Pelodiscus sinensis: one gene and its partners. The protein of the gene in region 3 purifies or fractionates together with the protein of the main gene of each other region. This does not show direct contact. Links are inferred from orthologs where the notes say so. Each region holds a gene or a part of one and is shown on either strand. Other genes may lie near its edges. The genes, in order: EXOC7, EXOC3 and EXOC6B.

The links.
Region 1: the proteins of EXOC6B (region 3) and EXOC7 purify together in Homo sapiens (affinity purification with mass spectrometry; 3 studies listed by BioGRID and IntAct, with this or other methods). This does not show direct contact. The link is inferred for Pelodiscus sinensis from reciprocal best matches to the Homo sapiens genes EXOC6B and EXOC7.
Region 2: the proteins of EXOC6B (region 3) and EXOC3 purify together in Homo sapiens (affinity purification with mass spectrometry; 3 studies listed by BioGRID and IntAct, counting the BioPlex papers as one, with this or other methods). This does not show direct contact. The link is inferred for Pelodiscus sinensis from reciprocal best matches to the Homo sapiens genes EXOC6B and EXOC3.

What each region holds. Positions count from the first base shown.
Region 1 is NC_134730.1:10,781,246-10,791,256, reverse strand, and holds the start of EXOC7 (exocyst complex component 7), read right to left. Parts: upstream 4,739-10,011; 5' UTR 4,610-4,738; coding exon 4,550-4,609; intron 2,947-4,549; coding exon 2,881-2,946; intron 906-2,880; coding exon 721-905; intron 1-720. UniProt on the Homo sapiens protein: Component of the exocyst complex involved in the docking of exocytic vesicles with fusion sites on the plasma membrane.
Region 2 is NC_134712.1:144,899,854-144,909,479, reverse strand, and holds the start of EXOC3 (exocyst complex component 3), read right to left. Parts: upstream 3,712-9,626; 5' UTR 3,591-3,711; intron 3,000-3,590; exon of another isoform or gene 2,977-2,999; intron 1-2,976. UniProt on the Homo sapiens protein: Component of the exocyst complex involved in the docking of exocytic vesicles with fusion sites on the plasma membrane.
Region 3 is NC_134715.1:131,708,322-131,717,883, reverse strand, and holds the start of EXOC6B (exocyst complex component 6B), read right to left. Parts: upstream 4,789-9,562; 5' UTR 4,679-4,788; coding exon 4,566-4,678; intron 1-4,565. UniProt on the Homo sapiens protein: Component of the exocyst complex involved in the docking of exocytic vesicles with fusion sites on the plasma membrane.

The DNA of each region.
Region 1 (10,011 bases), on a different chromosome or scaffold from region 3:
CAGCAAGGAAGAAAGGAATGAATACAATCGCTAGGTGTTCCACATAGGGATCAGGTGCAGAATGTGTTAAAGCACCCCAGAACAGGATTCTACCCTCAGAGGTAATGTTGTAAGTTCAAGCGGAGTTTCCCTTGAGGCAGACACATCTATGTATTTTAGCAACGTGCATCTGTTTGTCTGGCTGTTCATGAGTCCATTTGTTCAAGAACACCCCCTAAACTATAAGAACAACCAAATGTGGTATGCAGCTTTCTCTTATCTTAACTTAAAGCAAGGTTAGAATTTGGTTGTACCAGGACAATGGGATGTGCCTGGAATTTGATTGTTTCTCATAAAATGGAAAGAGAGGGGTCTGGTAGCAGAAAGTTATACCGTAGAATGACCACAGGGCGACAGCAAAGCATCTCAGTGGGAAGCCTCTGGATGGCAGCAGCCAACACGTCAGCCTGCTCCGGGGAGCAGCTTCTGGCCACTGCCCACTCCCCACCCCCCCACTGGGCAAGCCCAGAGAGCGGTAAAAGGCCTGCAAAACCCTCTCCACCCCCAGGGAGTGCCAGGCCTGTGCAGCCTACCAATCCCACTCCCATATATTAAAAAAAAAAAAAAATCAAAGAATAACAAGATTTTTGTGAAACCTGCCCAATCAACTACCCTGATTCAAAACAGACCCGGTACAAAGAGATTCAGCAGAAGAAAGCAGGGTTCTGCTACTTGACCCACCCTTCCTTTATGATCTTCTCTGTATCCTTAGCCACGTGGTAGTAGCTAATGACATGATCCAGACAGGACAAGGTCTTCTCAACATTTTCTTGCAGACGTTGTAGATTCTCTGTCTGCTTATGCACAGGGATGATAGAGTTCTCCAGCTTCATCAAACGACTCTCAAAGGAGGAGAGGATGGAAACCTAAAACCCCCAAAAGAATCAAACAGCATGGAGAATTTCCTTCCACATAAAACACAACTGTATTGTGAGCTAGCGGTTAAGAGGGTAATAGAAATCCAGATTCCCAGCTTCTACTCCTGGCTCTACCACTGAATTGCTTGTCTGCTTGAGCAGATCCCTTAACCCACCTATGCTTCTGCTTTCCAATGTGTAAATGGAAGTAATATTAAACATCACCATATACTTATTAGTATTATATTTAGCATTGGTATAGCACTCAAATCATCATACAACAGGTGCTAGGGAAGTATCCAAAGGGAGATAAACTGTAGCTATCTCAGGTGAGGGGAAAGGCTGAAGCAGAGTTTTTACTCCAGGGGTTCTCAGGTTGTAGGTTGGGATCCCAAAATGGGTTGCAACCCCATTTTAATGCTGGGTTCCGAGATTGAAGTTAAAGTCAGAGCTCCGGTGCATGGGGCCAAAGCCCAAGCTGAAGCCTGAGAGCTTCAGCCCTGCAAGTTGGAGCTCAGGTTACAAGTCCCCCAACTTCCCAAGCTCAGGGTAGAGGGGCTCAGGAAGACTCAGGCTTTGGTCCCTTCTCCTGTGGTGATAATTTTAGTCAGAAAAAATAAAAATTGACAAAAAATTAATGAAAAAAATTGTCATTCATTGCAATGAAGTTTGAAAATGCCTGCTTTACTCAATTGTACTGAGTGAATGAAGTTTACGATGGAGAAGTCATTTGACTGATGTTCATAGCCCTGTTCTGCCATGACCATTTGGTTTAGGCACGTACAATCCCGTTTAATTAGTTTATCTAGTTAAACATAACTGGTTAACAATTAAACAAAGGCTGGTGTTTGCAGATTGGCTGGATCGCCGCCTCCCTCCTGCCATGGACAGGGGCTGCTCCAGCCCCTGCCATTTAACAATGTCTGATAAGTATCACCCAGTAAGGGTGATGCTTACCGGTTAACTGATCATCCATTCACATCCCTAATTTGGTTGTCAAGGAACTCCAAGTTTGCAACTAACTTAATTAAGAGGGTAAGTGGCCTCAGCAGAAAATGGATGATATGGAGGAACAAAGTTCGTCCAAGCCCTTCCTTCTCTCCAGCAAGATCATCTCTGTCTTGTCTGAGTTCCACATGCTCTCTCAGCTCCTGGGCAGAGATTTGCAATGCTAGAGGTCACTTTAGTCTCCTTGCAACAATAACAAAAAGTACACAATTCCATCCAGTCAGATTCAGATCCAGCTACAGTGACTGAGACTCAGTTACTAAAACTCAAAAGTAAGAATAAGAAGTGGTGAGGTGGGGTGAGGGAATCCATTAGGCAGAGCATCCAGCAGCCCACCTGTTACACAACACAAGTGCCCATGAGCACATCAATGCCACACTTCTCCTTGGGAATGGACTCCCTAATTAATACCAAATCCAATTCTATGCTTCTGTTCGGATGTGGTGGATCATGGCAATACACAGGCAATACAAAACTGTCAACCAACAATAGATCCTTCAGATCCAGGTTACTGAATTCACTACCAGATGAGTTCAGAAAGATCACCAAGTAAATTGTATTCAGAAATTACTCTTCTACTTGGCTTTCCCAAAGCTCTTCACCCCTGTGCCCTGACACACAGAACAATTAATATTAGCTATTTTACCCCCTGGCTGGAGTGGATTTATTTCTACTGTCATATACTCAGGAGGTACTGAAATACTGAGATGAGCAATGCTATAAATGCACATAAATTAAACCAGATTGAAGGATCATTTGAACTCAAGTTTCCAGTCCTGGCAAACTTGCACCCCAACACACTTTATAACCTATCCTCAAGATTCTAATCTAAAAACAGTACCCAGTGAACTCATAAGTTTCCCAAGTTGGCAAATCAGAGCTTTCAAAGAAACTCTCAGGAGAGAAAGCACCAGAATCAGAGACCAAGCAAACCATATCCTACCTTTTTAAACTTAGTTTACGGGACCCTGCTTACCATGTTTTTTGTGAGCTGATCACTTTTTTCAAGGCTCTCTCTTATAAAGGACAGTGTTTCTTCTTCCTGACATTGGAATAAAGAAGAATTTATCAGTTTTATATGACAGGTGAATTTCAAACTTTACACAAGATTGAAAGAAAACTGCATTTCTAAGTTCTATTAAAGGAAATATCAAATAATTGAGAAGGAGTTTAAAAACACGTACACTTTTAATTAGAACAGAAACATTAAAATGATATACCTGTTTTTAAATTTCAATACAGAGGCATCTGGATTTAAACACTGTTCTCTAGTGTTATGAATTTAAACACAACAAAACAATGTTAGCAGGTGAGAATCAACTAATAATCTACATACAAAGTAGCACCAGTTTAACTAAAGGTTTAATTTGTTTAAAATCAATTAACCCAGTGTAGCAAACACTCTCAATTCAATTTAAATCTGTCTTGCCTCTGGACTACACTACAAATTTAGGACAATGCGAGTCACCTTTCATTGACCTAGCTGTGTATCTGACTACACTCAAACTTGTCTTCCACCGATGTAAGTGCCCTATTATGACAAAGTAATAAATGCCACTTTCCGGCTGGGCTGAAGTAGCGCCCCTGCCGTAGTCAAGAGTTGCTCCAGCCTGGCAGCTTCCAGCCCTGCATGGGATCCCGGTGGTGCTAGAGCAGCATTGAGTTGGGCCAGGGGGCTGCTCCCTGGGTATCGATTAACTATTACCCAGTAAGCAACACCAATTAAGGTTACATGTTAACATTCCTATCCCCAGATCTGATCATTCCATGTGACTTCAGGGGCCATATCCCTACCTGTGCCATTCCACACCAGAGGTCAGTAAGAAAAACCACAGCTTCACAAATACTGACTTGTGAGACCCATGGTTGCTGTGTGTATACCAAAATGGACATGAATGTTCTTTTTCTCTTGTGTTTGATTTATTTCAGAAGTAAATGTTCTATTTTTAAAATGATGGGATATGGATGATATTATGGGGTGGAGAAATTATGGGAAATTATGCAAAAGCTCTCAAGAAATGGTCTTCTCTTTGCAAGGGAAGAATTCCAGGAGCCTATGGAGTGCTGGAGTCATTCTGTAGATGTCATCTACAGGTTAGGCCCCAGTTGGGGAAAGGGCATGGGGGAGGACTCAGGGGGTCTTTCTCTGGAGGGGGCATGTCACAGGAGCAGAGCTGTACGGTCTGGTTCAGGGGGAGCAAGGAGGTCTCAGTTCCAGGGAGGTCTGCCTAGCAGGCTCAGTTCCAGAGGAGTGGAGCTGTCCAGGCAGGAATCTGGTTCCAAGGAGGCTCCCCTGAGCCCCAAATCGTGGGAACGTTCTGGGGGCCAATTCCAGGGGAAATGGAGCGGTTTAGGGAAGGCGGATCCCAGACTGCACTGCAGGGAAAGGCCTCTCACTAGAGGCAGTGTCCCTGCCTAGGGAGTGAGGGCCCTACAGTGTGGGTGGGTAGCAGGGAGGGTCTCCCTAGGGCAGGTGGGGGAGCAGCAGTGGGGTGAGCTGTCCGGGGGGGGATGCTGGAGCTGTGAGGGAGGGAGTCTTTTAAGGGGCTGTACAGGGGCGGCGCTGTCCTGGGGGCGGGGGTGGAGCAGGCAACGATGTGGGGGTGTCGGGGTCTCCCCGGGCCCAGCGCAGCGCCCCCCGCTACCTGCTTGAGCTTGTCCTCTATCTCCCGCCTGCGGGCAGAGGCCTCATCCGGAGGGATCATCCTGCCGCGGAACCGCTGGGCACAGCCAAGGGGCACCGGCCTGCCAAACACCCACAGCCCGGCCGTGCCCGCCACTGTCAGTCAGTCTCCCCACTTCCGCCTCACGCCCGCCGCCGTCAGCGCCGAGCCGCCATGTTGAGCGCGGCAGATGGCTATGCGCCTGCGCCCCGCCACACACCACCATCTTGGAACCAGTACTCATGCGCAGATCCAAGACTTTAGGGCTCGGCTTGCGAGCAGAAGTACGCTTGCGCGTCTCCAATGCGCGCCATATAAAGAGTGGCAGGCCCTTGGAACGATGTTCATAGACCGCCATATTGGGCGTGTCCACTGGAGCGCGCTCTTGTCATGTTCACTACTGGATTGGTGGGGGGCAGGGGAGGTGTATCGGTAGTGCCTGGGGAGGGAATTGCAGGCATGAGTTAAATACAGCACACTTGCTGTTACACTCCCTGGGCCTCATCCCTCTGCCAACAGTGATTGGCTGTGGGGATCGCTGACTTGCACATACCTTGTGCAGTGTAGTCAGTGATGTGCTAATTTTATGGGGGGGGGCATGGTGGGGAAATATTCTGCTTTACACTATGTTTCTAGCTGTCAAGGGTTTCCCAGCCAGGTAACCTAATTCCCACTTCCCCTAAAGTGACCAGACGTCTTCCTTTGAGAAGGATAGTCCTCCTTTTGAGGGGCTTGTCCTCCACAATAATTATGTCCTCCTTTTGTCCTCCTTTGAAAAAAATTGTCCTTCTTGTCCTACTTTACAAAAAAAAAATACCGCGTCCCTTTTTTTTTTTTTTTTTTTTTTTTTTTGTTCCACCAAAAAATACCAGATGTCTGGTATTTCTTGGGAGAAATATACAAGTATGTGTTTTTTGTCAACTCAGTGTCCTCCTTCCACATTTCCAAACCCTTACTGTATATTAGGAGAGCAATCAATCAGTCTCAAAAGGTCTTCCATGGATCCCAAAAACCATTGCCCATTTTTAACAGATTGTTTCCTCATCTGTTACACCAGTGGTTCTCAAAGTGTGGTCTGTGATTGCCTTTGCAGGTGGGCTGTGGGCTTGCCCTCTCTCTCTCCCCTCCCTCTAGTTGCAAGCAGAGAGTCCTCACTGGCACTCCAGCCTTGTATAGCCCTTTCTCCCTGCAAGGTTGGCTTCCCGCTGCAGGATGGGAGAGCCCTAAGCCTTGTGGGTCAGATCTAGCTCATAGGGGGAGGAAGTGGTTCCATATGCTGCCACTCCCCCTCTCACTTGGCTGGGGAAACTGCAGCGCAGGAAACTGCTCACATGGGCTATGTCTACACTGGCGGGTTCTTGTGCAAGAACTCTCGCGCAAGAAAATGTCCACACCGCCATGTGTGAGCTGTGCTTTTGCGCAAGAGCATCCATGGCAATGTGGATGTTGTCTTGCGCAAGAAACCTCTGATGACCATTTTAGCCATAGGGCTTTCTTGCGCAAGAAATCCCTGCCGAGCGTCCACACTGCCCTCTGTGCAAGAGCTCCTGTGCAAGAGGGCTTACACCTGTTAAAAAAGAGCATAGCTCTTGCACAAGAAGCCCTCTCTTACCACACTGTACCGTAAATCTTCTTGTGCAAGAGCAGGTGGGCAGTGGATGCTTTCCTGAAGAACGGCTGTTCTTGCGCAATAACCCACCAGTGTAGACATAGCCTCAGAGACTTTCCCCACTACGTGGGCAGGGGACCTTCTCAGGTCTCTTTTAGCTCTATGGTTCTATGATTCTACTCTCATTTCCTGGAATTCCAGCCAGACCTCCACCCCTCTCCTGCATCCGACTTCCCTGCCAGACCCTCCTCCCCATCTTCCCAGTCCACTCCTGCTCCCATTTGGTCATCATGGGTGGTTGCTGGTGGTCCACAAAAGGTTTGTTTTGAGCAGGGTGGGACACAGACCAAAAAGTCTGAGAACCACGGTGTTACACAATTTACATTCTATTATGTTCAGGGAGACAGCCATGTAACTATTAAGACATTTTAGGATCAGGCAATCTTCTGTAACCCTCCCTTTCCTCACTGGAGTACTCAGGAGCAGACCACTCTCTCGCCTGTGTGTCTGAGCACCAGATGTTTTTAACATTAAAGGAGATCCTGAGTGTCCCTATGGTGATGCTGGGTAGATAGGGATCTCCTTGCTATCCACCCGCTTGTGGCAGTCTCTTGCTTCTAAAGCAGGGGTGGGCAAGATACCTCTTGCAGCCCAGATCCGGCTAAGCCGCCCAGTCCAGCCCATGGACACCCTGCTAGGACCCTCTAGCATACAGCAGCAACTGTTTTAAGAGCAGGGCTGCTCTCTACGCCTCTACTCCTGGGGGAGGTGGAGGCTTCAGGTGATCACCCTGCCTCCAGCCCAATACTCAGCTCCTATTGGCTGGAAACAACCGACCAATAGGAACTCACCCCAGCCAATCTCTCTGCGCTTATTGGCCAAAACCAAACATCCAATGTGAGCTGAGAGATTGCCCTGGGGGATGGAGGCAGCATAAGCCTCTCCCCCCTCCCAGACCTGAGTCCCACATGAAGGGAACCTCTTGCAGTTTTAAGTGGTTTGGGGCTGCCGCAGTCAGGGAGCCCAGCCTGTCTTGGGGTGCTGCAGGCTGGGAGATGCTTAGGTAAGCTCCTCCTGGCCAGAGCCTGCCTCTGGCACCCCAGCCCCTCCTGCACCCCATTTCCCTTCCCCAGGTCACCATCCAAACCATATGCATCCCTCCCCCCCAGGTCACAACTCCCTCCCAGACCCTGGGACTCCGACTCCCCTTCCCCAGCACTTTCCCAAACAGCCACAGTTACTAAAAGTACCTTCTATGCAGGCTTTTCAGAGCCATGGGCATAGCCCATGGCAGGTGGCTGTTGCAGCTGAAGCCAGCTGTTCATAGTGGTGCTGGGATTGGGGTACACCCTGGCCCCCTGAGACTTCCAGCACCAGCCCTAACCCCTAGAATCCCAACTCTTCCACTACCCCCCAGTGCCAGCCACTGACCTGAGTTCCCTGCACCCAGTGCCAGCCTCCTATCCTCAGAGCCCAGCAGTGCCAATCCATCGTCCCAAAAGCCTCATTGCCAGCCCCATCCCTTAGAGCCCACCACCACCAGACCCCCCAGTGCCAACTTCCTGTTTCCAGAACCCCACTGCACCCAATCCCCCCAGACCTCCGCCAGTGCCAGTCCCCAATATTAGCCCCATCCCTAGAGCCCTCCCAGTGCCAGCCTCCCACTTTTTAGAGCCCCCCAGCACTAGCCCCACCCCGGGAGCCCTCAGTGCCTGCCTCACCTCCCCCCACCTAGCCCTGAGGTGCCTCTTAACCACAAGCTGAGTGCTGCTGCCCAGGTCACAGCTGCTGTAAGGCTGCTGTGCAAGGCTCTGTGCAGCTCTTCCGCCACGTAGCGAATTGCTCTTCTGTGTCTGGGAGGAGACCCCCCCACTCCTGCTGGTTGGTTGAAAGGTGGGGCCATATACAGGCACTGGTCCTTGCACCAGTGGCTAGGAACTGCTGGCCTGCTAGATCCAAGCCAACAGGCTTTCAGCAGCAGGCTCTAGCTTTGAGCAGCAGCTCCTGGACTAGAAAAAGGTTCCACAGCAGCAGTCTGGCTCCTCTTTCCAAATTGGAGCCCACCAACTCTCTTTCTGCACTGCCTACAAGAGAGCAACAGTTTTCCCTCCTTTTCCCCAAGGGCTCATAGGAGTTGTTGTCTCTAGGGCTAGACTGCAGCACAAAGGATCCCCCCAGTAAAAATTAGAGGCTCCTTTAGTAAAGGGAGCCTACACTTCCCTTTTAAAATACCAGCTGAGTGTAAGAAGGGGGAATGTTGACTAGTAGTTTTAGTCGGGGTTGCCGCCTCTGAGCTAGGGCTCCTGGTTGCTTGTTATAGTTTGGCTACTGATCGGGAGCAGTCACTTGATCCACTTTTGGCTCTATTTACTCAACCTGTTGCTTTGCTCTTCAGTTTACCTTATTGCAAAAATGGGTATTATACCACCACCCTTGCAGACATGTCACAAAGATTCATTAATCCTCTAATTCTCAGAATCTGTAGCTGGAGAGTGCCACTGAAGTGCAAACCAGTATTATTGATATCATATGTGAGTTTGCCTTTGGCATTGCAGTTACAAAATGGGTAGCTAAAGACCAGGGCTCAGGGGCTTCCCATTAATGTAGGGCTGGGGAACCTTTTCTGGACCTTTTCTGGGGCCACTGACTCACAGAAAAATCAGTTGGGCCACAAGTGAGAAGGAAAGCCCCCCCCCCAACCCTCACTGACATGGTCCCCAACTTAGGAGAAAGATACTCCCCACATTCCCCTTGCACACCAGAGCCTAGGGCTAGCCTAGTAGATTTTGTGTGCTCCAGCCCCGTGATGGGACGGTGGGGGGCTGGAGTGCCACTGCGAACTCCCCAATGCTGGGGGGAGGTGGCTGAGCTTCAGGGGCTAGATCCAGGCAAGGTGGGGGCTACAAGCTTGAGGTTCCCAAACCCTGCCTTAGTGTTTGGCTACTGCCGTGGAGGCCAACAGTGCCATACCAGTTAGCATTAATGGGAGCTACGCAATGTGTCTACGTCTAGACTGGCATGATTTTCCGCAAATGCTTTTAACGGAAAAGTTTTCTGTTAAAGCATTTGTGGAAAAGAGCGTCTAGATTGGCACAGATGCTTTTCCGCAAAAGCACTTTTTGCAGAAAAGCGTCCATGCCAATCTAGACGTGCTTTTGCGCAAAAAAGCCCTGATCATCATTTTCGCGATCAGGGCTTTTTTGCGCAAAACAAATCTGAGCTGTCTACACCAGCCCTTTTGTGCAAAAGGACTTTTGCCCGAACGGGAGCAGTGTAGTATTTCCACAAGAAGCACTGTTTTCAGAAAGTAGGAAGTCAGTGTTCTTGTGGAAATTCAAGCGGCCAGTGTAGACAGCTGGCAAGTTTTTCCGCAAAAGCAGCTGCTTTTGAGGAAAAACTTGCCAGTCTAGACACAGCCTGTGCTTCCTGCCAGTGGAGATGAGAGTAAGTCTCTAGACATTCTGAAATTCATATCAGCACTCCCACCTTCTCTTGATAATTTTCTTCTCCAAGTGCCTTGCATGGTGCGGATACAGAGGCATTTGGACACTGAGGAGAGCTATAAAAGTACCTAGAGAGAGTACACATATAAAGACAGGTAGAGGGCATCCCCCAAAAGTACTCATAGCCTGTAGCAGCCACCAGTTCTTGATTCCTGCTGAGCCTTCCAAAAGGAAAGCCACACAAAAAAATCATACATCGAATACTGTTGCTGTGACAAGGAGAAGAGTAATTTCAGTGAGACAAAAGATCCGCAACATGCAATGAATTCCCAGAACATGTGAAATGCAGCACATCCGCCAGGTGTCCCCAAGCACCAGCTTTCCTCCTTTTA
Region 2 (9,626 bases), on a different chromosome or scaffold from region 3:
AGATTCTTCAAATTTCCCAGGTTTTTAAAACGCTCTGAAATCTTGCACTGAGAATACATTTGAAGTTTTAAGATCATGTTTGCCTTCGTCCTTCAGAAAGAAAGTTTATGCATCAGACTTAGTGAACAATAATCTTCTTCAGATAATGCCACCAAAAAGGTACTTTGCAAAATGCTTACTAGCAGCAAACTAGCATCTTACTAGCAGCAAACAAAGAATGCCAATGACACCATTCACCAGCAACTCACAGGGTTGCTCTCTACCTCCTAACAGTATCAGAGGCTACCATCTTCTGAGTAGGCTGGCTTCACTTCTATTGAGAACATAGGAGGAAAAACCTAATTTGAAAGAGAGCATCTCCACGAAGGGTAACCTGTGGCCCCCTGGCAATAATAGAAGATGGCAGCCATTTTGACAGAGCAATTTTTGGTAGGATTTATCATGACATTACTAGGGAGGAGGAAAGAGGAAAAAGATCAGTGTGTCTTTTAAAAATAAGTTTAATCAGCAACACAAATATTTTAAATAATCATACAGTTATTCTATTCTATTGCTATAGGATAAAGTTAAGATTGTTTGAGAACCCAAACTGCATTTACATATTTTAACATCTTTGAATTTCTTTTAAGTTTAATCTTAAATGTGAGTTTCTTGACATTCTAATTTTTTAATAGAATTACAATATCCCTGTATTGTATTTTACCCTAAATTACTGATGTAGAATCATAGGATGGAAGGGACCTCAAGATGTCATCTAGTCTAGTCCCCTGCACTCATGGGAGGATTAAGTACTACCTAGCAGTCTTAACTCCATCCTATCAGTTTTTCTCTGTATTATTATTAGTATCTTAGATCCTCTTGTTTCTTATCCACTTCCCCTCCCCATATTCTAAGACATATCTATTCCAGGAAAAACCTCAGTATATCCTTCTGATATTAAAGGGAGGAAACCACATTTGCTCAATATACTTCTCCAACCCTTTAAGCATTTTGTTATTTCAGAACATTTTAAGCAGATATGTAGTACTGATTTGAAGGATATATGTCAAGTTTAACATTTTTGAAGGTGTTTATTTAAACACAGAAAAATAAAACCAGACAAGTATATACTCTCATACCGTCACTAAAAACGTCTGCATTGCATCTGAGAGTGAATCTCCCAGCCCAGTTCCAGCTGGAGCTGCAACATCAAAGAAATGGCTACACAGCTATTTTTAGCACTACAGCACCACCCCTATTATCATAAGTCTCTGGACCTGGCCTGAGAAATTCGCTCTCAGATGCAGTTTAGTGATTCCCTATAATGCCTAATAAATTCTCAAATCATCCAAAGACCAACACCTAATGTATAAATTGCATGACAATACACCATCGAATTTGTTTCTGCATTATTAATAAAAGCAAATTATTTCAGTGGCAAATTCATAAAGCTGGATCTTTGGCAATGGTGGCTGTATAGACCAATGTGGGAGGTTTGGAGCTATCTTCTGTGAGGATCATTAACACTTTCCATTGTGAAAGGAGGGTACACCAACCCTTTGAAAAGGCACTGGTGAGACTCCTCTTCAAGGAAGCATTTCTTGACTTTAACAGTCTTGTCAACTACCACTCTGTCTCTAAACCCCTATGTTAAACAGATTATATTAATAAATGGGGCTTTCCAGACTCATCTCAATCTGATCATCAGTCCCTACAACCTTAATGTTAAGCATGGATTTAGTATAGGATGTTTTCATTGATTGTTGACAATTTCCTCTTGGGACAGACAACAATCAAGTATATACGATCGATGTGCTGGCTTTATAAACAAATTATATAATTTGACAGCATTTGAAAAATTCTTTTATTAGTTGCAAATAAGGCCTATTATGTGCTAAGGAAGAAGGCCTAAGCTATTAATTTTCTAAGGAGCTTAAACGTTAAGTTAAAAAATAAGGTTTTCAGATTTACAGCTGTCAGGGTAATCTTCTCAATATGAAAGCATTAACCCATGATGTGTTATCTTTCTGAGTTTGTAGACAAACAAGCTCTGGTGCCTTTGTTGCTCTTCATGATTTTCCCAATCATCTACAGAGTGAAATTAACAAGACTGATACTACATAATACTATAGGTGCAGCAAACTAACAAAAACCATGTCAATTTCACTTAGCTGTTGTTTGGAAATCATGAGAAATCTTGGAAGCAGACACTGGCACAACTACTCCATCATCCTCTGCACCCTAGTGAGGTGAGAGCTTGGACTATGAAAATTAACACTGAAATTCTCTCTCTGATTGGACTTGAACAACAGTAGGGAATTTCCAGCCACTGACATCTTTCTGTCCAAAACGACATCTCAGCAAGCCCCTTTAAAACCACATGGAGCACCTCCAGCTCCAGAGTCAAGCCTCTTGAATAAAAGACTGATGCAGCTGCCAGAATACCTGTTTTTTTCCCTGCTAAACGGGACAAGCCGTTTAAAAGTATTTATATTTAAAATAAAACATAGAACTAAAAAAGATACAATCAATATTATGTTGCTTGGATACAGTATCACACTACCTTTCTGTTTTCTGAATTTTTATACCATAAACATATTAGGGAAGCATTACTTCTTCCTATATGTTTGCTCAGCACCTACTACCAGAGAGAGGCTTGATAGGGACTGAGGGCCTCAGGGACTGTGGGAAACATAACACAGATTTCTTGATATTCTGTTTAAAAATTTTACCGGTGTAGTGCTCAAAATGGAGCTAATACAGCTATCTAAATTAATAAGTTGTAAATACTTGTTTAAAACAAGTTTGTCCAAACTGAATTATGAGGCTGACATTTTTCAAGGGGCAGAGAAAAGAGGCGTTGGAGATCACAAAACTGGAAAATATGAAGGAGCATTGGGATTCTGTAATGAGAGTTAAGAAAAAAAGAGAAGAAAGAAAAGTAAAAAGACTGGGTAGGGTCACCCTTCCCTTCTGTGCTTCAAAAGAGGCTCCTACCTAATGCACAGGTGCTTCTGGACAGCTGCCACATCAGGGAAGTAAGTAAAAGGGCAAAATTTAAAACAGCGCCCCACATTGAACAGGTTTGATATTTCGATTCTGTAGGCCGTGAGCAATGGGGAGTCCTTCAAAGGTTCTCTGGCTTCTCTTCTGCACTGGCCTCCGCGAATCCTCAAATTGACACCAGACCCTCCGGTCCCCCCGCCCCATCAGTAATAACGCAAGGACCCCGGAAGGTAACTCGACAGGATCCCACCCAGGCCCAGCCCATCTGGCCCCTCGCCCTGTGCCCGCACCCCAGCAGCACAAAGAGGCCCCGAGATGAGCTAGGACCGGCACAGCCCCCCCCCCCCCCAGGGTTACGGTCACGCTCGCAGGGACGGGAACGGCTGCTCCGCGCAGTAGCTGCCAGAGCGTCGTGGCAAGGGGGCAGAAACCAACCCCCCCCCATCCCACCTGCCCCTGCCAACCTGCCCCCGCCCCAACCTCTCCTCGGCCAGGGCTTCCCGCAGTGCTCGGCCCCGCGCTCCCAGAGCCCGGTCCTGCCCGCAGCCGGCGCCCCGCGGGGACCAGGCGGAGCGACACCGGCCTCGAAGGCCGCCACTTCGTACCTGCGCTGCCAGCTCCCAGGAAGTCACTGACAGGCGCGCAATGCGCAGGCGCCGCCCTGGACGCCGGAATCGCAGAGCGACCGCCCGGCACCTCAGGCTCACTGCGCAAGCGCGAAACCAATTCGCTCTCCCTCCCTCCCCGCTTCTCATACTGCGCATGCGTATTATCCTCTGCCAGTCCTTTCCTTCCCAATTCCCCATTGCGCCTGCGCTGATAGTCTTCAATGCTGTGTCCGAGCGAGGGGCGTGGCGTGGCGTTCGCCCTTCCCTACCCCCTGGTGGCGGGGCGGGATTCGAAAGCGTGTCCTTGGGAGCTGCTTTTCCCTGGGCTGTCAGCCTCTGTGCGCGCAGCTCCCGGGCAAGACACGTTTGCCAGGACTTAAAAATCTTTAGGGATGGAGACTCCACTAGGGAACCCATTCCAGTGCTTCACCACCCTCCCAGTGAAATAGTTTTTCCTAATAGCCAACCTAGACCTCCCCCACTGTAATCTGAGACCATTGCTCCTTGTTCTGCCATCCCTCACTTCTAGGAACAGCCTCTCTCCATCCTCTTTGGAACCCCCCTTCAGGAAGTTGAGGGCTGCTACCAAATCCCCCCTCACTCTGCAGACTAAATAAGCCCAAATGGTTGAGCCTTTCCTCATAGGTTATGTGCTCCAGCCCCTTAATCATTTTGGTTACCCTCCGCTGGACCTTCTCCAATGCTTTCTATAGTGGGGGGCCCAAAACTGGATGCCATACTCCAGGGCTGTGTCTAGACTGGCAAGTTTTTCCACAAAAGCAGCTGCTTTTGCGGAAAAACTTGCTAGCTGTCTACACTGGCCGCTTGAATTTCCACAAGAACACTGACTTCCTACTGTCTGAAATCAGTGCTTCTTGCGGAAATGCTATGCTGCTCCTGTTCAGGCAAAAGTCCCTTTTGTGCAAAGCCTTTGCGCAAAAGGGCCAGTGTAGACAGCTCAGATTTGTTTTGCACAAAAAAGCCCCGATCGTGAAAATGGCGATCGGGGTTTTTTTGCGCAAAAGCGCGTCTAGATTGGTACAGAATCTTTCTGCTCTGAAATGTGATTTGTCCTTTTCATATGTGTTCATTTTTTTTTAATTGTATCCTTTGGTATATATATGGCTGTGACTATTTTCTTCCACTATTTGATCTGAGGAAGTGGGTCTGGCCCACGAAAGCTCATCATCTAATAAACCATCTTGTTAGTCTTTAAAGTGCTACATAGTCCTGTATTTTGTTTCCACAAAAAGTGCTTTTGCGGAAAAGCGTCCGTGCCAATCTAGACACTCTTTTCCGCAAATGCTTTTAATGGAAAACTTTTCCGTTAAAAGCATTTGCGGAATATCATGCCAGTCTAGACGTAGCCCAGGTGTGGCCCTACCAGTGCTGAATAAAGGGGAATGATAACTTCTCTAGATCTGCTGGAAATGCTCCTCCTAATGCACCCTAATATGCCATTAGCCTTCTGGCCTACCAGGGCACACTGTTGACTCATATCCAGCTTCTCACCCACCGTAATCCCCAGGTCCTTTTCTGCTGAACTCCAGAAAACTGGAAATGTTCAGAAATCATGAGATTATGTAAAAATGGGTTTTCATTTGCTTTTTGAGCCTTTAGGGTGCATGGGGATCATACTTTGAAAATTTCTCCACAACCATAAGGGCTAGACACTCATTTTTCCTTTGAGAATAAAGGCTGAAAACATCGCATCTTTGTTTGACTGTACGAGCTGGGGCTTTAAGGCAAACAATAATTATTATGAGACTCATGACAAAATAATGAGTGTTGGCAACACTGCAGACGGTTTCTGCCCCCTTCCACACCAGACCCAGTTCCACCAGACTCCTTAGCCTAGTCTACTAGTCTACTCCTTTCCCTCCCTCTAGTTCAACTTTTGTCCCTTCTTTGAATCAGGCAGCTCCCTCCTCCTCATTCCCTACTTGCCAGCTGATCAGTGGCAGATTTAGAGTTAGTGAGGCCCAGTGCTCAGCTTCCTTTTTGCCCCCCTCCTTCTATATTATAAGTAATAAGAAGTAAATGAAAATAAAGTGAGGCGCCTTGATTGTTTTTGTAGTCTAACTTTTTTTTCCACAGACCATTTGAAATTTGCTGAAGGTCTCGGGTGGACCACTTAATGATCTTTCCAAATATTGTTTGTACCATTCGCTAATTACTGCAAAGTGCTTTGGATAAGAGTGCTTTATTTAAAAAAAAAAAATCTCTGTGGCTGCAGAGGACACCTTCAGGTGCCCCAGTGGCCCTGCATTGGCTGGCCTGAAGAAGTGGGCAGAGACCCACATGTGCTTTACCTAAAGGTGAGGGAGGCATAGTGCTATCAGTCATCTGAGTGCTGCCCCTCTCCCCGTCCTGGGCTCTCTATCCCCTGGCCACTCTCCCCCTTGCCTGCGGGCAGCCACCACTCACCAGGTGGCATCCAGCAGCACAAACACAGGCTGGAAGGCGTTAGAGATCACTGGGTAGATGCACAGCTGGCGGCCAAAGAGAAGCAGCGCTTTCCCGCTTCAAAGCACCGCTTTTCTCTGGCCGGCTGTGTGGCTCTTCTGAAGCCTTCCAGATCATGTTTGCACTGCTCACTACCTTCTGACAGCTCACCTGAGGCTGCAGTCTGCAGGTGGGCCTCCCTGCTCTCTTGCTCTCCCCCCCACCCAGCCCTTTCTGCAGAGGGACTGGCCCCCACTTCCCTGCAGAGTGGCCACCCCCTGTGTGGGGGGGTGTTGGATCCGGTACTGGACTGCCCAGCCCAGGGGGGCTCTGTGTCATTGGGAGGGGGCATGCCAGGGTACGGTATGTTTCATTTAAATCTACCTCTGCAGCAGATGAGTCATTGAGAAAACAAGGAGAAGCACTGGACATTCCCTGCTTTTGATGGCTGGCTCCACCCAGCCCAGAGCTACCATTACAGGAAAAATGTCTTTGCCATTGTAGACCTAAGGCTAGAGCAGGGATGGGCAAAATACAGCCTGTACAGATCCAGCCTGCCAAATATTTGAATGCAGCCTGATGCTACCCTGTCTTCTGTGGTCCCATACACTGCTCAAAGCATCCGGTTGCTGGGGCAAGCATGTGTATCTCTGTGTGGTGCATGCTGCTTGCGGAGAGGATTCTGTGTGCTGCCCCCACCTCCAGCACAATCCTCGTAGCGCCCATTAGCCAGAAATCAGCCAATGAAAGCTGCAGGCTCAGTGCTTGCAGGTACATGCAGCACATGGAGACCTGCTAGCCCCTTCTCCCAAGGGGCGCACTGCCCAGAGACACACACTGACCCCAGCAGCCAGCCACTTTGAATAGTGTGTGGGACCGCAGAAGGAAGGGAGCCTATCCAAGCATCCTGATGGGCTGCCGCCTGGCTCTGTCTCCAGTAAACACTTTCGATTCCTGGCCAGAGCCTGTATCTGATACCCTACTCCCTTCCACACTCCCAACATCTTGCCCCAGGTAAAAACCTCCTACTGCATCCAAGCTCCTTCACAAATACTGTGTTGTGCTTATTAGAAGCACACAGGATCTTTTTCAGGGGGAAGACAATATGCCACATATATTGACAATACAACAGGAAAAGTAGCATATGCATCCACACACACAGGTCTAGCAGATGATACTAGTTACTAGTCTGTGGTAACTCAAATCAATCTAGTGGCCAGTTAGATTGAACATGAGTGAGGAGCTGGGTTCTGTTGGTCATGATCCGAAGTGCCAAGGCAGGACAGAACCCAAAGTTCCATGGCAAGAGCACCCCATTTTTATACTTGTCAGTTCCCTGGATCTCTTGCGCATCTCTTTGCACATCTCTTGCACAAAAGCACATGCCAGGGTAGACGCTCTCTTGTGGAAGAGTTTTTGCACAAGAACTCTTCTGCAAAAGAGTTCTTGTGCAAGAAGCTGCCAGTGTAGACGTAGCCAAGCTCTTGTGTTTTCCCCAAAATGAAATCACACCACACAAGGACTCACAAACTAAAGCAACCTCCAGCCACTAAGTTCAATAATCCTTATGTTTTAGGTGAGGGTTTATGGAGAACTTATCCTTACTTATGTTAATTGAAGGGTGAGTTCACAGTCATGAAGAGGTCTGTGATTCATCCAGTCATTAATCTCAGTTTAACAGTACAAGGCAGAAGAAGAGAAATGTTTTTGGGGGATGTCCTAAATTAGAACCCCTTGGTCAGATGACCCCAAATTTGATGGCCTTGTGCTTCCATTAAGGATATCAAATTTAAAAGCAAATTTGAGTATCTGTTTGGATTTTAGAGCACTTAAAGAGTTGAGTTTAAAGTGCATAAAATGTCAGGGATGGAAACTCTTTAGCTATTTTTCTGTACTTTTGTGCATGGGCAGTGTAAAAATGTACATTTTCTTAAATACTGTTCTCAGTTTGGGTCCCCCAAAGAATTACTGTGTGCCATGCACTAGCTTGGGTAAAACTCAATATACTTGGACCATTTTCTCTTGCATCACATCAATAATACGATGTATATGAGTACAGAGGGGTGGACTAGACAATCTCTTGAAGTCCCTTCCAGTCCTAAGATTCTAGCTGGGGGGGGGGGGGGGGGGGGAGAGATTTAGGAGGGAAAGCTACCTAGAATCTCTTTTTAAAATGGCTATTTTCCGGGCTTATGCTTCCAGAAGCCAGGGCTCAAATTACATAGGGCAGTTTGTTGCAGTGAAAGACAATGCAGAGACTGCAGCAGCAGTGGCAGAGGCACCAGCCAGAGGTCAACAGTTTCTGTGACTGCTGTCAGTAGCAGAGGCATTGCTCAGTGCTTCCCTGACATTTTCAGGGGTGAGACGTGAACCCATGTAAATTCACCATGGAATGCTCAGACTTATATAACCTCAAACTCTGATGCTGACAAACTAGGTGCTAGCTCTTGCCCAAGCCTCAGATACTAGCTAAGAACTAACAAACTAATAGCTGGAGACCAGACTAGGTTACCTGCAGATTAGTTTTGCTCAATTAGTATTATAAAAGTATATAAAGTGTTTAGATGATATGCTTGTAAATTACTGCATGTGTTAATCTCACTTGTAATGAGATTACAAGTGCATCTGATGAAGTGGGTCTTTGCCCACGAAAGCTTATACGCCAATAAATCTGTTAGTCTATAAGGTGCCACAGGACTTAGAACATAAGAACATAAGAATGGCCATACTGAGTCAGACCAAAGGTCCATCTAGCCCAGTATCCTGTCTGCTGACAGTTGCCAGCACCAGGTGCCCCAGAGAGGGTGGACCAAAGACAATGATCAAGCGATTTGTCTCCTGCCATCCTTCTCCAGCCTCTGACAAACAGATCATCTGAAGAAGTGAGCTGTGCCCACGAAAGCTCATGATACCATCTACATGGTTTGTTAATCTATAAAGTGCTGCCAGACCATTTGTTGTTTTTTAAGTTTATCCTGTATAGACTAACTCCGCTACCCCCTGAAGCATGATAACTCTGTTACTCTTAGGATTTAGATAACTCATTTGTGTGTATGTGCCTGCTTGCTTTAATGTATAAATAACTTTAATTTCTTTTTTCCTAGTTAATGAACACAATTTATTACAGGATCAGCTATGGGCATTGTATTTGATGTAAGATCTAGGGTACCAATTGATCTGGGGGTTATTGATCAGTCTTTTGGGATTGGAAGCAATCTGAGTATTGTGTGATTTTTGGTGTTAGTGATGATTTATCACTAAGTCTGGTCTGTCATTGTAACAAGATAGACTGGAGAGTCTATGGGGACTATCTGTATCTCTATGGTAAGACTGTTAGGGTATGTCTAGACCACATGCCTCTGGCGACAGAGGCATGTAGATTAGGCTACCCAGCATAGGAAAATTAAGCGGCCATTTAAATAATCGCCGCTTCATTTAAATTAAAATGGCTGCTGCGCTGAGCCGATCAGCTGTTTGTCAGCTCAGCGCGCTAGTGTGGACGCTCCGTGGTCGACATCAAAGGCATTTGTTGACCTCTCCGGTATGCCTCGTGGGATGATCACCACTTCATTTTCCTATGCCGGGTAG
Region 3 (9,562 bases):
CCCGGGGGGGTAAGGAGTCTCTATCCGGGGGGGGCTCAGGGGGTCCCTGCCCTGGGGGGTAAGGAGTCTCTATCCGGGGGGGCTCTAGAGGGTCCCTGCCCGGGGGGGTAAGGAGTCTCTATCCGGGGGGGCTCAGGGGGTCCCTTGCCCGGGGGGGTAAGGAGTCTCTATCCGGGGGGGGCTCTAGGGGGTCCCTGCCCGTGGGGGTAAGGAGTCTCTATCCGGGGGGGCTCAGGGGGGTCCCTGCCCGGGGGGGTAAGGAGTCTCTATCCGGGGGGGCTCAGGGGGTCCCTGCCGGGGGGGGAAGGAGTCTCTATCCGGGGGGGCTCAGGGGGTCCCTGCCCGGGGGGGGGTAAGGAGTCTCTATCCGGGGGGGGGCTCAGGGGGTCCCTGCCCGGGGGGGTAAGGAGTCTCTATCCGGGGGGGCTCTAGAGGGTCCCTGCCCGGGGGGGTAAGGAGTCTCTATCCGGGGGGGCTCTAGAGGGTCCCTGCCCGAGGGGGTAAGGAGTCTCTATCCGGGGGGGGCTCAGGGGGTCCCTGCCCGGGGGGGTAAGGAGTCTCTATCCGGGGGGGCTCAGGGGTCCCTGCCCGGGGGGGTAAGGAGTCTCTATCCGGGGGGGCTCAGGGGGTCCCTGCCCGGGGGGGTAAGGAGTCTCTATCCGGGGGGGCTCAGGGGGTCCCTGCCCGGGGGGGTAAGGAGTCTCTATCCGGGGGGGCTCTAGGGGGTCCCTGCCCGGGGGGGTAAGGAGTCTCTATCCGGGGGGGGGGCTCTAGGGGGTCCCTGCCCGGGGGGGTAAGGAGTCTCTATCCGGGGGGGCTGCTCTAGGGGGTCCCTGCCCGGGGGGGTAAGGAGTCTCTATCCGGGGGGGCTCTAGGGGGTCCCTGCCCGGGGGGTTAAGGAGTCTCTATCCGGGGGGGCTCAGGGGGTCCCTGCCGGGGGGGGAAGGAGTCTCTATCCGGGGGGGCTCTAGGGGGTCCCTGCCCGGGGGGGGTAAGGAGTCTCTATCGGGGGGGCTCAGGGGGTCCCTGCCCGGGGGGGGTAAGGAGTCTCTATCCGGGGGGGGCTCTAGGGGGTCCCTGCCGGGGGGGGAAGGAGTCTCTATCCGGGGGGGGCTCAGGGGGTCCCTGCCCGGGGGGGTAAGGAGTCTCTATCCGGGGGGGGCTCAGGGGGGTCCCTGCCCGGGGGGGTAAGGAGTCTCTATCCGGGGGGGGCTCAGGGGGTCCCTGCCCGGGGGGGTAAGGAGTCTCTATCCGGGGGGGGCTCAGGGGGTCCCTGCCCGGGGGGGTAAGGAGTCTCTATCCGGGGGGGGCTCAGGGGGTCCCTGCCCGGGGGGGTAAGGAGTCTCTATCCGGGGGGGCTCAGGGGGTCCCTGCCCTGGGGGGTAAGGAGTCTCTATCCGCGGGGGCTCAGGGGTCCCTGCCCGGGGGGGTAAGGAGTCTCTATCCGGGGGGGGCTCAGGGGGTCCCTGCCCGGGGGGTTAAGGAGTCTCTATCCGGGGGGGGCTCAGGGGGTCCCTGCCGGGGGGGGAAGGAGTCTCTATCCGGGGGGGCTCAGGGGTCCCTGCCGGGGGGGAAGGAGTCTCTATCCGGGGGGGCTCAGGGTGGTCCCTGCCCGGGGGGGGTAAGGAGTCTCTATCCGGGGGGGCTCAGGGGGTCCCTGCCCGGGGGGGTAAGGAGTCTCTATCCGGGGGGGCTCAGGGGTCCCTGCCCGGGGGGGTAAGGAGTCTCTATCCGGGGGGGGCTCTAGGGGGTCCCTGCCCGGGGGGGTAAGGAGTCTCTATCCGGGGGGGCTCAGGGGGTCCCTGCCCGGGGGGGGTAAGGAGTCTCTATCCGGGGGGGGCTCAGGGGGTCCCTGCCGGGGGGGTTAAGGAGTCTCTATCCGGGGGGGGCTCAGGGGGTCCCTGCCCGGGGGGGTAAGGAGTCTCTATCCGGGGGGGGCTCAGGGGGTCCCTGCCCGGGGGGTTAAGGAGTCTCTATCCGGGGGGGGCTCAGGGGGTCCCTGCCGGGGGGGAAGGAGTCTCTATCCGGGGGGGCTCAGGGGGTCCCTGCCCGGGGGGGTTAAGGAGTCTCTATCCGGGGGGGCTCAGGGGGTCCCTGCCGGGGGGGAAGGAGTCTCTATCCGGGGGGGCTCAGGGGGTCCCTGCCGGGGGGGAAGGAGTCTCTATCCGGGGGGGCTCAGGGGGTCCCTGCCGGGGGGGAAGGAGTCTCTATCCGGGGGGGCTCAGGGGGTCCCTGCCCGGGGGGGGGTAAGGAGTCTCTATCCGGGGGGGCTCAGGGGGTCCCTGCCCGGGGGGTTAAGGAGTCTCTATCCGGGGGGGCTCAGGGGGTCCCTGCCCGGGGGGTTAAGGAGTCTCTATCCGGGGGGGCTCAGGGGGTCCCTGCCGGGGGGGAAGGAGTCTCTATCCGGGGGGGCTCAGGGGGTCCCTGCCCGGGGGGGGGTAAGGAGTCTCTATCCGGGGGGGCTCAGGGGGTCCCTGCCCGGGGGGTTAAGGAGTCTCTATCCGGGGGGGCTCAGGGGGTCCCTGCCCGGGGGGGGTAAGGAGTCTCTATCCGGGGGGGGCTCTAGGGGGTCCCTGCCGGGGGGGGAAGGAGTCTCTATCCGGGGGGGGCTCAGGGGGTCCCTGCCCGGGGGGTTAAGGAGTCTCTATCCGGGGGGGGCTCAGGGGGTCCCTGCCCGGGGGGGTAAGGAGTCTCTATCCGGGGGGGGCTCAGGGGGTCCCTGCCGGGGGGGTTAAGGAGTCTCTATCCGGGGGGGGCTCAGGGGGTCCCTGCCGGGGGGGTTAAGGAGTCTCTATCCGGGGGGGGCTCAGGGGGTCCCTGCCCGGGGGGGTAAGGAGTCTCTATCCGGGGGGGCTCAGGGGGTCCCTGCCCGGGGGGGTAAGGAGTCTCTATCCGGGGGGGGCTCGGGGGTCCCTGCCCGGGGGGGTAAGGAGTCTCTATCCGGGGGGGGCTCAGGGGGTCCCTGCCCGGGGGGTTAAGGAGTCTCTATCCGGGGGGGGCTCAGGGGGTCCCTGCCCGGGGGGTTAAGGAGTCTCTATCCGGGGGGGGCTCAGGGGGTCCCTGCCGGGGGGGAAGGAGTCTCTATCCGGGGGGGCTCAGGGGGTCCCTGCCCGGGGGGGGTAGGGAGTCTCTATCCGGGGGGGGCTCAGGGGGTCCCTGCCCGGGGGGTTAAGGAGTCTCTATCCGGGGGGGGCTCAGGGGGTCCCTGCCGGGGGGGGAAGGAGTCTCTATCCGGGGGGGGCTCAGGGGGTCCCTGCCCGGGGGGGTAAGGAGTCTCTACCCGGGGGGGCTCAGGGGGTCCCTGCCCGGGGGGGGAAGGAGTCTCTATCCGGGGGGGGCTCTAGAGGGTCCCTGCCCGGGGGGGTAAGGAGTCTCTATCCGGGGGGGGCTCTAGAGGGTCCCTGCCCGGGGGGGTAAGGAGTCTCTATCCGGGGGGGGCTCTAGAGGGTCCCTGCCCGGGGGGGTAAGGAGTCTCTATCCGGGGGGGGCTCAGGGGTCCCTGCCCGGGGGGGGAAGGAGTCTCTATCCGGGGGGGGCTCAGGGGTCCCTGCCCGGGGGGGGAAGGAGTCTCTATCCGGGGGGGCTCTAGGGGGTCCCTGCCCGGGGGGGTAAGGAGTCTCTATCCGGGGGGGTAAGGGGTCCCTGCCCGGGGGGGTAAGGAGTCTCTATCCGGGGGGGGGCTCAGGGGTCCCTGCCCGGGGGGGGTAAGGAGTCTCTATCCGGGGGGGGTAAGGGGTCCCTGCCCGGGGGGGTAAGGAGTCTCTATCCGGGGGGGGCTCAGGGGGTCCCTGCCCGGGGGGGGAAGGAGTCTCTATCCGGGGGGGTAAGGGGTCCCTGCCCGGGGGGGGAAGGGGTCTCTATCCGGGGGGGGCTCAGGGGTCCCTGCCCGGGGGGGGAAGGAGTCTCTATCCGGGGGGCTCTAGGGGGTCCCTGCCCGGGGGGGTAAGGAGTCTCTATCCGGGGGGGGCTCTAGGGGGTCCCTGCCCGGGGGGGTAAGGAGTCTCTATCCGGGGGGGCTCAGGGGTCCCTGCCCGGGGGGGTAAGGAGTCTCTATCCGGGGGGGCTCAGGGGTCCCTGCCCGGGGGGGTAAGGAGTCTCTATCCGGGGGGGCTCAGGGGTCCCTGCCCGGGGGGGTAAGGAGTCTCTATCCGGGGGGCTCTAGGGGGTCCCTGCCCGGGGGGGTAAGGAGTCTCTATCCGGGGGGGCTCTAGGGGGTCCCTGCCCGGGGGGGTAAGGAGTCTCTATCCGGGGGGGGCTCTAGCGGGTCCCTGCCCGGGGGGGTAAGGAGTCTCTATCCGGGGGGGGGCTCTAGGGGGTCCCTGCCCGGGGGGGTAAGGAGTCTCTATCCGGGGGGGCTCAGGGGTCCCTGCCCGGGGGGGGTAAGGAGTCTCTATCCGGGGGGGCTCAGGGGTCCCTGCCCGGGGGGGAAGGAGTCTCTATCCGGGGGGGGCTCAGGGGTCCCTGCCCGGGGGGGTAAGGAGTCTCTATCCGGGGGGGGCTCAGGGGGTCCCTGCCCGGGGGGGGTAAGGAGTCTCTATCCGGGGGCTCCGCCGGGCGGGCGGTACCTGAGCGTGGGCCCGATGCAGGCCGTGTCCGTGCTCTCGATCTCGCGCAGGATCCGCTCGTGCTCCGCCGCCGTCTCCAGGCTCTCGAGCTCCGCCATCTTCCCCCGCTCCATGGGCTGCGGGCCCGGCTGGGACGCTGCCACCCGCACGCTCCCCTCAGCCCCGGCCCGGCCGCCGCACCCCCGCGCCGCGCCCGCCCCCTGCCGCCCGGCACGCCGGGAAATGGAGTCCGGCCCCCGCGCCGCACTGCCCCGCCTACACCCGCTCCTCCACTGGGGCCGCCGCCAGACCGCCCCGCCCCCTCATTGGGGGGGCCCCCGCCTGCCAGACCCGCCCCGCCCCCTCATTGGGGGGGGCCCCCGCCTGTCAGACCCGCCCCACCCCCTCATTGGGGGCCCCGCCTGTCAGACCCGCCCCGCCCCCTCTTTGGGGGCCCCCCCCGCCTGTCAGACCCGCCCCGCCCCCTCATTGGGGGGCCCCCGCCTGTCAGACCCGCCCCGCCCCCTCATTGGGGGGCCCCCCCCGCCTGTCAGACCCGCCCCGCCCCCTCTTTGGGGGCCCCCCCCGCCTGTCAGACCCGCCCCACCCCCTCATTGGGGGCCCCCCCCGCCTGTCAGACCCGCCCCGCCCCCTCATTGGGGGGGGCCCCCGCCTGTCAGACCCGCCCCGCGCCCTCATTGGGGGGGCCCCGCCTGTCAGACCCGCCCCGCCCCCTCATTGGGGGGGCCCCGCCTGTCAGACCCGCCCCGCCCCCTCATTGGGGGCCCCGCCTGTCAGACCGCCCCGCCCCCTCATTGGGGGGGGGCCCGCCTGTCAGACCCGCCCCGCCCCCTCATTGGGGGGGGCCCCCGCCTGTCAGACCCGCCCCGCCCCCTCATTGGGGGGGGCCCCCGCCTGTCAGACCCGCCCCGCGCCCTCATTGGGGGGGCCCCGCCTGTCAGACCGCCCCGCCCCCTCATTGGGGGGGGCCCGCCTGTCAGACCCGCCCCGCCCCCTCATTGGGGGGGGCCCCCGCCTGTCAGACCCGCCCCGCCCCCTCATTGGGGGGGGCCCCCGCCTGTCAGACCCGCCCCGCCCCCTCATTGGGGGGGGCCCCCGCCTGTCAGACCCGCCCCGCCCCCTCATTGGGGGGGGCCCGCCTGTCAGACCCGCCCCGCCCCCTCATTGGGGGGGGGGGGGGGCCCGCCTGTCAGACCCGCCCCGCGCCCTCATTGGGGGGGCCCCGCCTGCCAGACCCGCCCCGCCCCCTCATTGGGGGGGGCCCGCCTGTCAGACCCGCCCCGCCCCCTCATTGGGGACCCGCCCCGCCCCCTCATTGGGGGGGGGGCCCCGCCTGTCAGACCCGCCCCGCGCCCTCATTGGGGGGGCCCCGCCTGTCAGACCCGCCCCGCGCCCTCATTGGGGGGGCACCGCCTGTCAGACCCGCCCCGCCCCCTCATTGGGGGGGGCCCGCCTGTCAGACCCGCCCCGCCCCCTCATTGGGGGGGGGGGGCCCGCCTGTCAGACCCGCCCCGCGCCCTCATTGGGGGGGCCCCGCCTGCCAGACCCGCCCCGCCCCCTCATTGGGGGGGGCCCGCCTGTCAGACCCGCCCCGCCCCCTCATTGGGGACCCGCCCCGCCCCCTCATTGGGGGGGGGCCCCGCCTGTCAGACCCGCCCCGCGCCCTCATTGGGGGGGCCCCGCCTGTCAGACCCGCCCTAGCCCCTCATTGGGGGGGGCCCCGCCTGTCAGACCCGCCCCGCCCCCTCATTGGGGGGGCCCCGCCTGTCAGACCCGCCCCGGTGCCCCTCATTTGGGGCCGCCTGCCGGATCCGCCCCCACGCCCCTCATTGGGGGCCCCGCCTGTCAGACCCGCCCCTCATTGGGGGCACCCCCCAACCTATCAAACTTGCCCCAGCGCCCCCCATCGAGCACCCTCTACCCCTGTCAGATCTGCTCTCAGTGCTTCTCATGGGGAGTCCCTCCACCCCATCAGTCCTGCCCCCAGGGCTTGTCACTGGGGGAGCCTGATCCCATCTCAGAGCCCCTCACTGGGAACCCCCACTCATGTCCGACCTGCTCCCAGCATCCTTCATTGGGGACTCCCCATCCCTGTCAGACCTGCCCTAGAATCCTAATTGGACTTACCCCTCGCCCCATCAGACCTGCTCCCAGGGCCCCTCATTGGAGGCAACCCCAAAACCTCTCAACTTGCCCCAGAGCCCCTTATTGGAGGACCTCATGCCTATGAAACCTGCTCCCAGGCCCCCACATTGAAGAACCCCCCACCCCGTCAGATCTAATCGGGTGCCCCTCCTTGGGGGAGATTACCATCAGACCTGCCCCAAGAGGGTGTTCACCTTTGCTGGATAGAAATAGCGGAAAATCACATGAAAAATAAAGAACAGTACTTAATTTTACTGGACACTTGAAGGAACCGCCATTTCTCTCAGCACAGCATGTATTTTTCTCTCAAATGTACTTTTCTACTGCCTTCACGAATACAGTTCAATTATTGTAAGCTTCAATAAAAAGGAGTCCTGTGGCACCTTGAAGAATAACAGATTTGTTTGGGCATAAGCTTTTGTGGGCAAAACAAACTGTTTTTTACCCATGAAAGCTTATGCCCAAAATAAAACTGTTAGGCTACGTCTACACTGGCACCCTTTTCCGGAAATGCTTAAAACGGAAAACTTTTCCGTTATAAGCATTTTCGGAAAAAGTGCGTCTACATTGGCAGGATGCTTTTCCGGAAAAGCGTCCGTGCCAATGTAGACGCGCTTTTCCACAAAAAAGCCCCAATCGCCATTTTTGCGATCGGGGCTTTTTTTGCGGAAAAGAAATCTGGGCTGTCTACACTGGCCCTTTCCGGAACAGTTTTCCAGAAAAGGACTTTTGCCTGAACGGGAGCAACATAGTTTTTCCGGAAAAACACTGACGATTTTACATTAGATCGTCAGTGCTTTTCCGGAAATTCAAGGGGCCAGTGTAGACAGCTGGCAAGTTATTCTGGAAAAATGGCTGATTTTCCGGAATAACTTGCCAGTGTAAACATAGCCTTAGTCTTTAAGGTGCCACAGGGCTCCTCGCTGTTTTTGCAAATTTAGATTAACACGGTTACCCCCTCAGGGATTCATAAGCTTCGATGTAATGTTTAAAATGATCAAGGGATATCCCTTAAAATCAAATCAAGAGATGTCCCTTAAAAGGAAGACATCAACAAAATAAGGACTAGCCCCTTAAAATAAGGTGATGGATGGGCACCCTACACCCCAGTGGCCCTCCGTGAAGGAAGTTGTACACATTCCAATCAGTCCACTCTCGGTAACTGTGGGGAGGAAACACACATCACACCACGCCACGGGACCTGTTCTCACTGCCTCTCACCGGGAGCCTCCAACTGTCAGAATTTCCCCCGCTGCCTCTGTATGGGGCAGAGATCCCAGACAGAAGTGCTTTAATTGGGGGGAGAGACTTCATTCAGTCTAACTTGGCCCCTGAGTCCATCCCAGTAAAGGGCTCTGGCAGTAGGTCTGACTCATGTGGTGTTCCCCCAATATGAAAACAACGCATTGGCTTCAAACTGCCTTTCAGTCTTGAACTATCCCCAAATGCTTCACCATATATATAATTACAAACCCAACCAGAAGACAGTCCCTTTTGAGGTGAAGAGCAGCAGCATCTCAATAGTACTAAGGAAGGGCCATTTGGCCAAGAACACCAGGGAAGCATCTTACCAGATGGCCTCTGGGTTCTATAATCAGCATCTCTGTCACAAAGGTCTTGTCGTTTTGGTTCTCAGCATTTCTCTCTGATAACTAAGTGGCTCACTGGGACTTTTCAGTTTAGAAAAGAGGAGACTGAGGGGGGGATATGATAGAGGTCTATAAAATCAGGAGTGGTGTGGAGAAGGCCGATAAAGAAAAGTTATTTATTAGTTCCCATAATAGAAGAACTAGAGGACACCAAATGAAATTAATGGGTAGCAGGTTTAAAACTAATAAAAGAAAGTTCTTCACACAGCGTGTAGTCAACCTGTGGAACTCCTTGCCAGAGGAAGCTGTGAAGGCTAGGACTATAATAGAGTTTAAAGAGAAACTAGATAATTTCATGGAGGCTAGGTCCATAAAAGGCTATTAGGCAGGGGATAAAAGTGTGTCTTTGGCCTCTGTTTGTCAGAGGCTGGAGAGGGATGGCAGGAGACAAATCGCTTGATCATTGTCTTCTGTCCACCCTCTCTGGGGTACCTGGTGCCGGCCACTGTCGGCAGACAAGATACTGGGCTAGATGGACCTTTGGTCTGACCCAGTACGGCCGTTCTTATGTTCTTATGTTATGTTCTATGTTATTGCTCTTGTTGTCATTATTTATTATCCTCACAGTTCTGCTCAGGTTCTTCCATTACTTGTATGGCAGCATTGGGTGTTGTATAACACGTAGAAAGAGCTGGTCCCTGTCTCCAAAGAGTTTATAATTTAAACAAACTGCAAATGGGTGGAACAAACAAATGGAATGCGAGAAAGATGGCAGGAACTGTGGTAGGAACAGATTACTTAGACCAGTGTTTCTCAACCAGTGGTACGAGTATCCTTAGGGGTACTCAAGAGAAGGCTGGGGGGTACCTCAACACAACCGAAATTTGGAGAAAACTGAATTTTTGTTTTAAGTTTTACAGTGCTTTATTATTTTTGTACTTTTTACACCCAAAAATTTCATTGCCTGCCTGGCTACGATTAAATTGTTTAAACAAATGTGTTGCAATGGTAGAAAAAAATTGTGTGTCTGAAAACTGTAGGTACTGGGGGTACATATAATTTTTTAAAGGGGTACTTTATAAAAAAAAGGTTGAGAAACACTGACAGTTTATGTACACTATTGCTTGTTTTTTAATCAAAGGTGGTTGTTTCAAGTTTTAAGCTATAAATAAACAAGAACGACTCTTCTAGTCCCCTTCTTTGACTGCTAAAAGGTTGAATGCTGCTGATCTGGATATAGCTTTGACTTAGAATATCACCCAA